Mus musculus: one gene and its partners. The protein of the gene in region 2 purifies or fractionates together with the protein of the main gene of each other region. This does not show direct contact. Links are inferred from orthologs where the notes say so. Each region holds a gene or a part of one and is shown on either strand. Other genes may lie near its edges.

The links.
Region 1: the proteins of Srpk3 (region 2) and Son purify together in Homo sapiens (affinity purification with mass spectrometry; 3 studies listed by BioGRID and IntAct, with this or other methods). This does not show direct contact. The link is inferred for Mus musculus from reciprocal best matches to the Homo sapiens genes SRPK3 and SON.
Region 3: the proteins of Srpk3 (region 2) and Ccdc86 purify together in Homo sapiens (affinity purification with mass spectrometry; 3 studies listed by BioGRID and IntAct, with this or other methods). This does not show direct contact. The link is inferred for Mus musculus from reciprocal best matches to the Homo sapiens genes SRPK3 and CCDC86.

The regions. Positions count from the first base shown.
Region 1 is NC_000082.6:91,650,798-91,654,378, reverse strand, and holds part of Son (protein SON), read right to left. Parts: intron 2,750-3,581; coding exon 2,583-2,749; exon of another isoform or gene 2,320-2,582; coding exon of another isoform or gene 1,963-2,319; exon of another isoform or gene 1-1,962. Other genes in the region: Gm36712 (host cell factor C1 regulator 1-like protein), read right to left, coding at 1,963-2,319. UniProt on the Homo sapiens protein: RNA-binding protein that acts as a mRNA splicing cofactor by promoting efficient splicing of transcripts that possess weak splice sites.
Region 2 is NC_000086.7:73,772,871-73,777,251, forward strand, and holds the start of Srpk3 (SRSF protein kinase 3), read left to right. Parts: upstream 1-1,580; coding exon 1,581-1,636; intron 1,637-1,713; coding exon 1,714-1,844; intron 1,845-2,022; coding exon 2,023-2,131; intron 2,132-2,233; coding exon 2,234-2,321; intron 2,322-2,607; coding exon 2,608-2,695; intron 2,696-3,149; coding exon 3,150-3,256; intron 3,257-3,327; coding exon 3,328-3,493; intron 3,494-3,590; coding exon 3,591-3,616; intron 3,617-4,096; coding exon of another isoform or gene 4,097-4,099; coding exon 4,100-4,229; intron 4,230-4,317; coding exon 4,318-4,381. UniProt on the Homo sapiens protein: Serine/arginine-rich protein-specific kinase which specifically phosphorylates its substrates at serine residues located in regions rich in arginine/serine dipeptides, known as RS domains.
Region 3 is NC_000085.6:10,946,388-10,950,404, forward strand, and holds the start of Ccdc86 (coiled-coil domain-containing protein 86), read right to left. Parts: upstream 2,880-4,017; 5' UTR 2,847-2,879; coding exon 1,891-2,846; intron 1-1,890.

The DNA of each region.
Region 1 (3,581 bases), on a different chromosome or scaffold from region 2:
TAATTATGTTTTAAGGTGGGATACAGCTCAATGGCGGAGTGTTTGCTTAGCCTGTGCGGAGACCCGACTTCTATTTTTACCCCTGGCAGATGGAAAAGAAAAAGCTGTTCCATTAAAATCTAAAGTTTTTTCTCCTCGGGAGCAGTGAGATGCCTCAGGGAGTAAAGACACTCACAGCAAAGCCTGATCATCTCAGTGCAACTGCCCGACCCACATGGTACAAGAAAACCACCTCTGACTTCCACAAATGAGGCAGCACACACACAGTGAGTGAGTGAGTGAGTGAGTGTGTGTGTGTGTGTGTGTGTGTGTAGATGCAGTATCTACCTACCCACATGTGGTCACAAAAGCAATAGTATTTTTAAAGTATTCTTTTCTTAGGCTGGGTATTACGGCACACACTTTTAATCTAGCATTCTGAAGGCAGAAGCTGGCAGGTCTGTGAGTTTCAGGCCAGTCAGAACTGAAAAGTGAGGCCCTGTTTCAAAAAAGCAACCCCCCCCCCAAAAAAAACCTTTGTTCTCAAACTATAGTAAGTTATTTTAAAACTACATCAATAAATTTACTTCATATTTTATTTCAATTCCTACTTAAAAAAAAAAAAACCCTCAATACAGAGCTAGTAAGATTAATGTCCAAGAATGCACAAAGACTGTCAATAAAGTCCTAGATGACAGAAAATGTTCTGAGTTAACTTCTAATTTTATTCATTCCGTTACACAGGAAAGGATATGGCACTCATTCTGCAACAGAATGTCTAAACTAACCCATCACATGGTAGAGGAAGGGCCTTGTCAAATTACTGACACACTGTACAGTCCCTGGGTTTGATCTCCAGGAAGACAGAACAACAAAAAGTCTACCAAGTACAAGGAATGTGCTTATTTACTACATGGACATTTTCAACACAATCCAAGTGAATCCTTCTAAACAAGAACGCCTGAACAAATACACCAACGCAACTACAGAGCTCACTTTTTAAAACTGTCATATTCTGATAAAACCACGTTTCCCTAAACACTTTATTCTTGAATACAGACCTAACATTTCAACTTGCCTATTACAAATAAGACAGTTTACACTATCTTAAAACCGCACAGTAAAATTTACCCTATAGATTATAAATAAGATAAATCTTAAGGAAATGGCTAGTCAAATATACCAGTGATTCCTACTATAGAGAAAAAACACCAACACCAACATGGCATCATACCAAAAGAAAATCAATCAATTTTTAATGCTTATTTCACAGCATGAAAAGGTAGTTTATACCTAACCAGACATGATCTAAGCCAGACTAGTTGTTATTTTAAACTGTCTTATGAACCATACTATATACCTAACTCCTATACTTAATAATTTAGTCTTGTGATTAACCACAGATTCTTCATTTTTAATCACCCATTATTTAATCAATTCCAAAAAAGAAATTGTATACAACGAAAGTGCCTCAACCTGCTTTGTACAAACAAGTCAACTTTTAAGCATGGGCTTTAAAACAAAATGTAATGTGGTTTAAAACCAGTAGAGATTTAGTTCAGGATATTGCAGCTTATAAAATTGACACTTCAGAGCTAGAACAATCTGCTGAAGAGCTTACACTGTTCTTACAGCTGCCCATCCTCCAAGTCTGGGGGACCCAAGACTTTCCTCCTCTTGCTTTCCTCAGCCCCAACCACACATGTGTGGCTCAGTACACGCAAACACCCAAATGTACCAAACAAAAATTAAGGGAGGAAAAACACACCAAGAGCTACTTTTTTTTTTTTTTTAACTGCTCACAGGTCTTTATCACTAATGGGGTCCCAAGCTGTCTCTCACTGAGGGTTCCACCAAGCTAGTGTCCTCCTGTCAGGGGGAAGGTCCTGGTGGCCAGGCACCTGGTTTGGAGAAGGACTTCATCCCTCTCTAGGAGTTGCTGGTGTTTGATGTCAGGAAGAAGATGGGGAGGGACACAGGCCATCAACACCCAGACCCCCATGATATCCCAGCTGGGGATGCAGGGTAGTAGGGACTAGGGGTATACCCCAGCCTCAGCAGCCTGAGGGCTTCAGGAATCAGGCTCCTGGTATAGCGCCAGAGAAGTGGCTCTGGGCAAGGGCTCCTGAGTGGTGGCAGGGCTTCGGAAAAAGTCACAGGGGGGCTGCAGTAGTGGTGGTAATTACGTAGGCTGAGTTGGAAGAAATGGGTGGCCATGTTCTCCTCAGACAGGAACTGCCTGTGCAAAGGTTCCCTGGCGTCCAGTCCACGAGTCACCCCAGTGGTGGCCCGTGGGTCCCGATTTGGGGGACCTTGCTCCAGGGGCTGTTGCAGGATCATTATGGCTCCAAGAGCTACTTTTAAACGAGTTATTTACACAACCCTTCAAAGAAAATACACAGAAAAATCCTGACATTGAGTTACAACAAAATTGAATTAAATAAAAAGAAAAATCTTATTTTACCAGTGAAACAAGAACTTCAATGCCCCTGTTTGAGTAGACTATTTTCAAAGACACTATGAAAAAAATAACCTAAAAATAGTGCAATTAACATTCAAATTTTTCAAAAGATTTTTGAAACTGACAGTGAGCGTCAGCTTACCGGGCTTGTACCGCAGCTCCGTATCTAAGACCCCAGAGAGGACCTCCTCTATCTTCTGCACTATTTCTTCATTTGGGAGACTCCTTGCAGAGGCAGCTGTGTCACCTGCCTGGTTCCCTTCAATGGGTGGATTTGTTTCACCATTCAGCTGGCCTTCACTCCTTCCACTTGACAAGAAAAACATTTCAAAGTTCATTAATACTTCCATCATACTATAATAAATCGGTAATTCGACATTAATAACGTAATTAACATGATCTTACATTATATTATGCTACCCATAAGCCTCAAGATTTTCTATTTCAGATGTTTGCCATTAGTACATAAAGTTTCAAGAACTAAGACAGTTAAAGAACTTTTAAAATCAGACGTCCAACTGTGTTTTCAAAATAAGATAAGCTACAAGTGGTGGCCTTTAATCCCAGCCCTCCCTCAGCACTCAGGAGGCAGAGGCAGGAGGATCCCTGTTGAGTTGAAGACCAGCCTGGTTTACATTGAAAGTTCCAGGACAACACAGAAAACCCGTCCCCCATCCACCCCCAAAAAAATAAAGAAAGAAAAAGAAAAAAATATAATTGTTATGATTAAAACAACTTAAAGCTTCCAGTTACCTAAGTAACAATGAGCTAATTCACATTCACAAAGAAAAACAGACGACCAAGCATTATGGTAGAAAGCCACACTGTGCACTGATCACAAACCATCCAGGCAAACACTGTGTAAAGGGCTGCTTGTAGCCTCTTCATATTCAGACTGTAACTGAAATGCTGTAAATTTTAAAAAGAAAACCATGTGCCGGGCGTGGTGGTGCACGCCTTTAATCCCAGCACTAGGGAGGCAGAGGCAAGCGGATTCCAGAGTTCAAGGCCAGCCTGGTCTACAAAGTGAGTTCCAGGACAGCCAGGGCTATGCAGAGAAACCCTGTCTCAAAAAACCAAAAAACAAACAAACAAACAAAAAAAAAAAACTTGTACTTAAAAGTCTGCTTACTAAACAACT
Region 2 (4,381 bases):
TTTCTTATCATAGGACACCGGACAAAGTGTCTCCTACCTTGAGATAAGTACTGCCACTGCCAAGCCCCCTCCACTTTATTCAGAAGTTTCTGGCTAGTCTCCTATCTTCACTTTTGCCCCTTTATTCTCATCTAAAAACAATTAGTCTCTCTCATACTCTCATCTCATTCTGTTTTAATTTTACGTACATGAATGTTTTGCCTGCATGTATGTCTATATACTCCTTGTTGTGTCTGGTGGCCAGGAAGGCCAGAAGAGGGTGTCAATCCTCTGGGAACTAGAGTTGTAGACATGTGAGCTGCCACATGGGTCTTGGGAATTGAACTTGGACAATAGTTGCCAGTATTCTTAACCACTGAGCCATCTCTCCAGGTGGTTTTTATTTTTAAAGATAGGGTTTCATGCATTCCAGGCTGGCCTTAAACTTGCTATGTAGCTGAGCATAACCTGGAACTTCTGAGTACTTCTTGAGTATTGAGAGTACAGGCACATTCCACCACAACTGGTTTATTAAGTACTAGGCATCACCTTACCAACTTTAGAAAGCCCAAAAGAGCAAAAGTACTTGTCTACTTTTCTGGAACTCTCTCTCCAGTGACACCCATAGACTCCAGATAGGGTCTCAGTTGTTTTCCCAGGTCCTAGTATTCTGTAGCATGCTGGCACAGTATATCCTGAGTGCTTCTGGGGACTTAATGCTTTCTGGTCACTCAAGATGCACAGGATCCCTCAGTTACCAACTAGCTCATGGGCAATAACTGTGTGTTTTTTCTTCTCCTGGTGGACATGGCAGAGTTGGCCTAAATGGGAACCTGCAAATGTTGATGGGGACAGCAAGGCAGAAGTGGTCAGCTCTAGAGCTAGGGTGTGTTATGTAAATCTGATGAGCCTTTTGCCTCTAATGGGAGGAATGAGTTGCCTTTAACTCTTGCCTTTGACCCCTGCTCAGCCACATAGAGGGGAGGTCTGGGCTCCCACCTGCCTAGGGGGTGCGTCTATGAGTTACAAAAGAGCTGGGATCAGGGTTGAGATTGAGCAGAGCATGGGGTTTAGGTGGGATTGGTGGGGGTCACCTCTAAAAGGACACTTATATGGGTTAAGTGGGAAGTTCCAGAATGCATCAAGTACCCTGCAACATTTGGAGAGAGCTCAGCCAAAGGACCTGGTCATCATATCAACTTCATTCTTTCATAGGAGCCTCCCCTCCCTACAACCTTAGAGTACAGGAACTCCAGACTGCTCCATCTCCATGCAGAGGTCTTCCTTGGCTAGTCCTACACTGTGGGGAATCAGCCTAGGGACAGAGTTGCTATCATAACCCCAGCTTGATGGCTCCCTCTGTCTCTAGAGTGTGGGTGAAAACAGAGCAGGGGTGTTTGGCTTAGGGGCTGGACTCTCCAGGCTGCCATCAGTGCACTACCCCCTCCCTGTTCTGCATACCTTGCCCACAGCTGAGCAGCTGGGAGGCTATTTATAAAGGCGAGTGAGATCAGCGGCAGAAGCTATAAATGCACTGGCCACGGCTGGGCCCCACAGGAACAGCGGTCCAGTGCACCAGAGCTTTGGGCTGCGACATCAGGATGAGTGCCAATGCCGGTGGTAGTGGTAGTGTGGATTGTGGCGGCAGCAGCAGCAGGTATGACCAGGCTGGGGAGACTGGGGTCCCCTGCTCCCTGTGAGCTCACTGTCTGCATCCTCCTCCTTCACCCACAGCTCTCAGACTTCCTGTGGGCCTGAGTCCTCAGGCTCTGAATTAACTCCAGCCACACCAGCACCTCGTTTGCTGCAGGGACTCCTGGGCTCTGATGATGAGGAACAGGAAGACCCTAAGGACTATTGCAAGGGTAAGGCCTGGCCCTGGCTGCATGTGGCCAGCCGGATTGCCACTGCAAGGGCTCAGGACAGCTTGAGAGTAAAAAGTTGCCAAGACTAGGCCCACGTGAGATAGATGACCAGCAGGACATTGATATTGAGGTATAAGGGAGAGATGCCCTACTCTGATCTTTTGGTTCCCTTCTGCAGGTGGTTACTACCCAGTGAAGATCGGTGATTTGTTCAATGGGCGGTACCATGTGGTGCGAAAGCTAGGCTGGGGCCATTTCTCTACAGTCTGGCTCTGCTGGGATATTCAGTGAGTAGCTGGGATCTGCCTATGGGTTTGGTTAAGACCACCACCGTGAGAACATGTGACTCTGGCAAGGTCTGGCAGCCTATGAGGGTCTCCATATTACAGGCGCAAGCGCTTTGTGGCCCTGAAAGTGGTGAAGAGTGCAGGACATTACACTGAGACAGCCGTGGATGAGATCAAGCTCCTGAAATGTGTAAGGCACCTCCCCTACTGCTCCCAGCCCCTTGAACTGCCTTGGGCCTGGCAATGTGAATGCAGGGCCTGCTGGGGCTCTACAGAGTGGGGCGGGGCTCCCAGAGGGGACAGGCTCCAGCTGACTCTGCCAAGTAAAAGGACCCGGAGAGCAGAGGCAGCTGGCTTTCTTCAAGTGGGCCCCAGCTGGACTGGGAAAGGGGGATAGAAGTGCTTCAGGGGATATGAGCAGAGCAGTGTTGAGGAGCAGGTTGGAGTCATCTGTGGCTCCTTGCCTTTTGTTTCAGGTCAGGGACAGTGACCCTAGTGACCCCAAAAGGGAGACCATTGTTCAACTTATCGATGACTTCAGGATCTCAGGAGTAAATGGAGTCCGTATCCTTTGCAGAACGAGCAATATGGCAGTCAAAGATCCACATTGCATCATGGGATTTAGCCCTTGCGGGAAGAGCCTATAAAACAACTTCATCCCTTTGGGCACTTGTGTTTCTGAGTAGGGGGAACACAGGTAATTAGGTTGACTGTGATTATCTGCTGAGTGACTCCCAAATATAAAAGGCTACTTTTGAGGCCTACTTGGGCAGAAGAGTAAAGCTGGAGTGAGATATCTGTAGGATGACAAGAGGTACCATCTCGACTGGCATATCCGTGACAGTGACAGAAACATTCTAAATAATAAACTTGGTCAGTGGTGGCCACCAGGATGGTCAAGGGAAAGCCCTACTTCCCTAACCTCTGCATTTCTGGAGTCTAAGTGCTCCTCCATGATGGAGGGTAGGTAAGCCTGTGCCTTAGCTGTGTTGTTGACTGCCCTTCACTCCAGGTCCAGATGTATGCATGGTGCTAGAGGTCCTGGGCCACCAGCTCCTCAAGTGGATCATCAAATCCAACTACCAGGGTCTGCCTGTGCCCTGTGTTAAGAGCATTGTTAGACAGGTAGGTGCTGCCCCTACACTGCTCAGGTTGGCTAGGCCTGGCTGCTGGGATTCAGCTGTAGCTTTTGCCAGGTGCTGCATGGTCTGGATTACCTCCATACTAAGTGCAAGATCATCCATACGGACATCAAGCCTGAGAACATCTTACTGTGTGTTGGAGATGCCTACATCAGGCGCCTGGCTGCTGAAGCCACAGAGTGGCAGCAGTCAGGGGCCCAGCCCCCATCCCGTTCCACAGGTACCAAGAGCATGTGTGGGGACTGATACCAGGACTCTGGACCTCAATCTCTACCTGAATTACTGTTCTTTTTTCTCTCCCTACCCCTTACATCCAGTCAGCACTGCCCCCCAGGAGGTCTTGGTAAGTTGTGGTACCCCCTCTTTCCCTGTCTCCTCTTCCAATACAAGCTAGATGAGGCCATGTCCTCAGAGCTTGGATCCTCAGCCATACCTGTTCTACCTTTTGAACTTCTAAAAAGCTGAGTACCTGAGAAGAGAGTGATTAGACAGAGTGGATCATGTGCTCCAAGCTGCCTCTGGTCGCCAATGAGCCCAGCACTACCTCAATGGAAGGATACTGTGATACCCCACATGGCTACTTCAGGCAGCTTCATCTAGGTCTGGGAGTAGACAAGGAACAGTGTAGAGCAGGCCCACTAGGTTCTCCCCAAAGCACAAGGTAGGAGGGGGATAGGAGGAGAGGCAGAGAAATGGGTCAGGGGTTGGGAATAAGGGTGAGACAGAAGATAGCATCCATAGTCTGATACCCATGGGGGTTAGTTCTGGGGTTCAGGGCTGGACAAGAAAACATGGGGAGGGGGTGTGACCCTGACTCTGACAGCAGATTGGCAAGCTGTCCAAAAACAAGAGGAAGAAGATGAGGCGCAAAAGGAAGCAACAGAAGAGGCTGCTGGAGGAGCGGCTGAGGGACTTGCAGAGGCTAGAGGCTATGGAGGCCGCAGTACAAGCTGAGGGTGAGGGGGCAGGGAGAGCACTGAGCCACTAAGCCTGCATGTGGACTGCAGGCTTCTACTCATGTGCTCTTCTGCTCCTTCTCCCTAGACTCCAGCTCAAGACTAGAACGGGGCAGCGGCTCCACCTCTTCTTCAGGCTGCCACCCGGAGGG
Region 3 (4,017 bases), on a different chromosome or scaffold from region 2:
CAAGCCTTCATGTCTGGTCTCTCTCCTACTCCTTGCTGAGTGTGCTGGGTGTCCCATGGGCCTGTTTTCTCCCCCATCTTATCCCTAGAACTCTAAGGCTCCTCAGCAGATCCGTTCACAGTGGCCCTTCTGCTTCCTACACTAAAACCTTGACTCCTGTAGGAGTTCCTTTTTACCTGCCTGTTATAGGGTAGCTCAAGCCAACCCTGTGTCTAAAGGCTTGGTGCATGCTGGGCAGTCTGTTGCTGACCAGACAAAGGTCAATACGGCCTTTCTGAGCCACCTGCTTCCTTCCTAGGAGTCTGGCACACACAGTTTGGAACCTGGCACCAGGCTTATCCATAGGCATCCTGTTTCTGTCCCCTTCCCACTGTAAGGTTCAATAGTGATACAAACATGCTCCTCTCCTGCCAAGTTCGCCAGCTGGCTCAAGACCCAGCTTCCTAAACACAGAGCAGTGGTGCCTTGTGGACTTCCTTTCTACTCTTAAAAATGTGGCTCGTGACTGCAGTACTGAGGCAGAGTTGATGTTCAGCACTAGTTACTGGAGATGGAAGACAGGCTCCGAGCCCATTACTCACTGCCTATGCGAGCCTGTGCAAGGAAGCCTCTCAGCCACCGCGCCCTTCTGTGTGCGAGCCCGTCTGGCTGGTCACCCGTGGCCATCAGTGGCCTGTATTGTGGTTTGCTCGGACAGGGAAAAGGAACAGCTTCAAAGTTTCTCCGCTTGGTGCCTTTCTCTTTAAGCCTCACTTTCCTCTGTTTAATGGGGTGTGCTTGCGGGAGGGGTTATCCCCTGCGCTTAGGATTTAAGAGTATAACAAAATGACTTCTGTAAAGAGCCTGCACGGAGCCTCGCACGGTCCACCCTTATTCAACGTCATTTTCTTAAAATCTCTGATGCCCTGCTCCCTTACTCTTACGAGTTCTTGTCTCTGGCCAGTAGCTGACACTTCAACTGAACCCTACTTCTCCTTCTCCAGACACTGTCACAATGTCTCCAGACATTGTCACAGACACTGTCTCCATCCATGTCACAACAGTGGACATTTCAACTGAATGCCACTTCTCTTCCCCTGCTGCCTAAACAATGTCCTTTCCACATGAGCCTCCTTCCTCATTCCTTTACTGAGAAATCTAAACTGAGCACTCCCATGCCCCAGCACTGAAGGGACAGGGAAGACCTCATGTCTTAAGAAGGCTGGAACCCAAGGGAAGCTGGCCACCAGAAGCAGGTTAACGGGTTCACTCACACGCTTTGCAATCAAACCTATGCTCCCATCCCGTGTCTCAGTTAGCCTCCTTGAGCCTTGGCTTCCTCAGATGTACAACACCAATCCTAGTAACACCTGCTCCAAAGGGTAGATGATTACATGTGCTGCTGGCTATGAAAGCCTCTCTCTTTGGCCATCCTTACCGTGATACATAACCAGTGTCCCATGATACATTTTTTATCAAAGACAACAGCTAGCAGACAACAGTGGAAAGGACCTCACTATGTTCATATAATGGCCGCCTTTCTTGCTCTGCCTGCCACACGAGATGTGGCGGACAAGGTAAAGGTGGCACGTCTATAAACCCAGCACTAGGGAAGCAGAAGCAGGTGTATCTCTGAATTTCAGGACAGCCAGTGCTATACAGTGAGACCCTGCCTCATAATAAAAAAAGGATGGGAAGAAAGCTCAAAAGAACACCGTCTAGGGCAGACATTAAAGAAATGATCTTTGAGGATCTATCTCCCTCCCCGACCTTAGGGCATTTTGACATTATGATCGTGTTTGTTAATTTCATTCGGGTGAACTCTTTACAACCCTTGGATTGCATTCAGGCGAAGGCAAGGTCCAAATGTACTAAGAACCCAACACATCACCCATGCTACCCCCACTTTACCTCTTCTTGGAGCGGTCTTTCCACACACGCCCGGATTTGGGCTTCCCTTTCGGAATTACAGGAAGCTCCTCCTTCTCTTTCAATTTCTTGGACGCTGGGGCCTGGGGAGAGGCTATAACTCGCTTCTTTAGGTTGAGACTTTCTGTTACTGTCTCTCCCGCCGGAGGCAGCTTGCCTGGCTCCAACTGGCGCTCTGGGGAGCTAGGTGCCTGGACCGTCAGCTCCTGTGCTGGCTGAGAGGGCTCGGGACCCGGTGCTTGCTGGCCCGGGCAAGGCTCGGGGGATCCTGGGATCACCTCCTCTTTAGCGTGGGCCGCCTCAGAGTCCAGTTCTCCCTGTGGGGGAGGTAATTTGGATGGCTGCTCTCGTTGCGGGGATTCCGGGCTCGACTCTGTCTGTCCTGCAGGTGACTCCAGGCCCAGATCTTGATGAGGTTGAAGGGACCCGGGGTGAGGCTCTGGCTGCCTTTGTGGGGACCCATCGTCTGCATCCTGTCTAGGACCGGGTGATCCGGGGCTCGCCTCTGGCTGAGGTCCGGGAGACGGAAGGCTCAGTGGTGGACAGGGCGATCCGGGGCTCGTCTCTGGCTGAGGTCCGGGAGACGGAAGGCTCAGTGGTGGACAGGGCGATCCGGGGCTCGTCTCCGGCTGAGGTCCGGGAGACGGAAGGCTCAGTGGTGGACAGGGCGATCCGGGGCTCGTCTCCGGCTGAGGTCCGGGAGACGGAAGGCTCAGTGGTGGACAGGGCGATCCGGGGCTCGTCTCCGGCTGAGGTCCGGGAGACGGAAGGCTCAGTGGTGGAACTCTCGTAGACTTGAGCTCTCCTGTTTCTTCTGAGTTCGACTTGAAATCTACAAGAGCCCGTTTCGCCCGAGAGACTTCGGGGACAGGAAGGTTTTCTGGAGACAGAGGTTTTAGGCCTTCCAGCCGCCGGCTGCGCCTCAGCGGCGTATCCATGGCTCACGTGTAGCCTCTGTAGCCTTCGGAACTGTCGGCGCCTTCATATGACGTCAGACTCGTCCATTTCCGTACCGGGCAGGAAGCGCACTTGCGGTAGAGAGACCCGTGGGTAGGCGGAGCCGGGGATGAAGTCGGTCCCGGGAGGCTGGGCTTAGTAGACGCATGCGTGTTGTGCATGAGCTCAGTTACAGAGTTTAGTTGCTTGGTTTCTGCGATGCGTTTTTTGCAAACTGCGAGTTCTTGCAAGGGGATGGGGTGGGGGTATATTATACATACACACACACACACACACACACACACACACACACACACACACACACACATATAAAAATAATTTTTTTTTTCTTGAGAGAAGAGGTTGGAAAAAGGCGGAGGGAGTTTGTAGGCAGAGCCGAATCAGCGCGCTAACTTGTTCTGGAACTGCTGGGCCCGCAAACATCGCCTTTTCTTTTATCTTTTGTAGCACAGTAGCTTTGCGCTGTGTAACAAAGGGGAAGGTCCTGGTGGTCTTCCTGAGTGGGAAATCTTCAGTTTTTGAGTTGTCTCAAACGTTCCCATTCTTTTCACTTCCTCTTCTCTACTAGTGGGCCCAAGTATGCAATAGGTGGTTCTCATCTTTGAACAGTTTCAGTTAATCAGCAAAGTGTCAGGTCTGTGGCCCAGAAAACCTTGACTGCTTGTTGTCAATGTTGGGGGTTCACAACCTGTGCCCGAAGTCAGGTCTAGCTACCTTATCCTCAATAAGCCAATTGAAAGAGACACATTAAAAACTGGAAATCTTTAGAAAAAGGAGATTTATTCAATGTAGTCATACTAGAAAGAGGGGCAAAGAGATTCTGTGAATCACCCAAATTTGACCTCAGGGTTCTAAATTTAGATAAAAAATTTAGATAGAGGGCCAAGGATAAATACATCTGAGTAGTCCTTACCAAGGTATGACTCTGCCCACCATTGGCCCATTATTATCTGGGTTTTAGTCTCATCCTGTAAGGTGGTCTGACAAGCTTTTAGAACTCTGAAATCTTTTTCCAGGAGACAAGTTTCCCCTCTGGCTGGTACCTTTTTCTTCTCCCAGCATGAGAATTCTGGGGAAATTTTCATTTCTTTGGAGTCCTCTGTCTGATTGATTGGCTGATAGGCTAAGAGATGCAGTGTCGAAAGCCTTTAA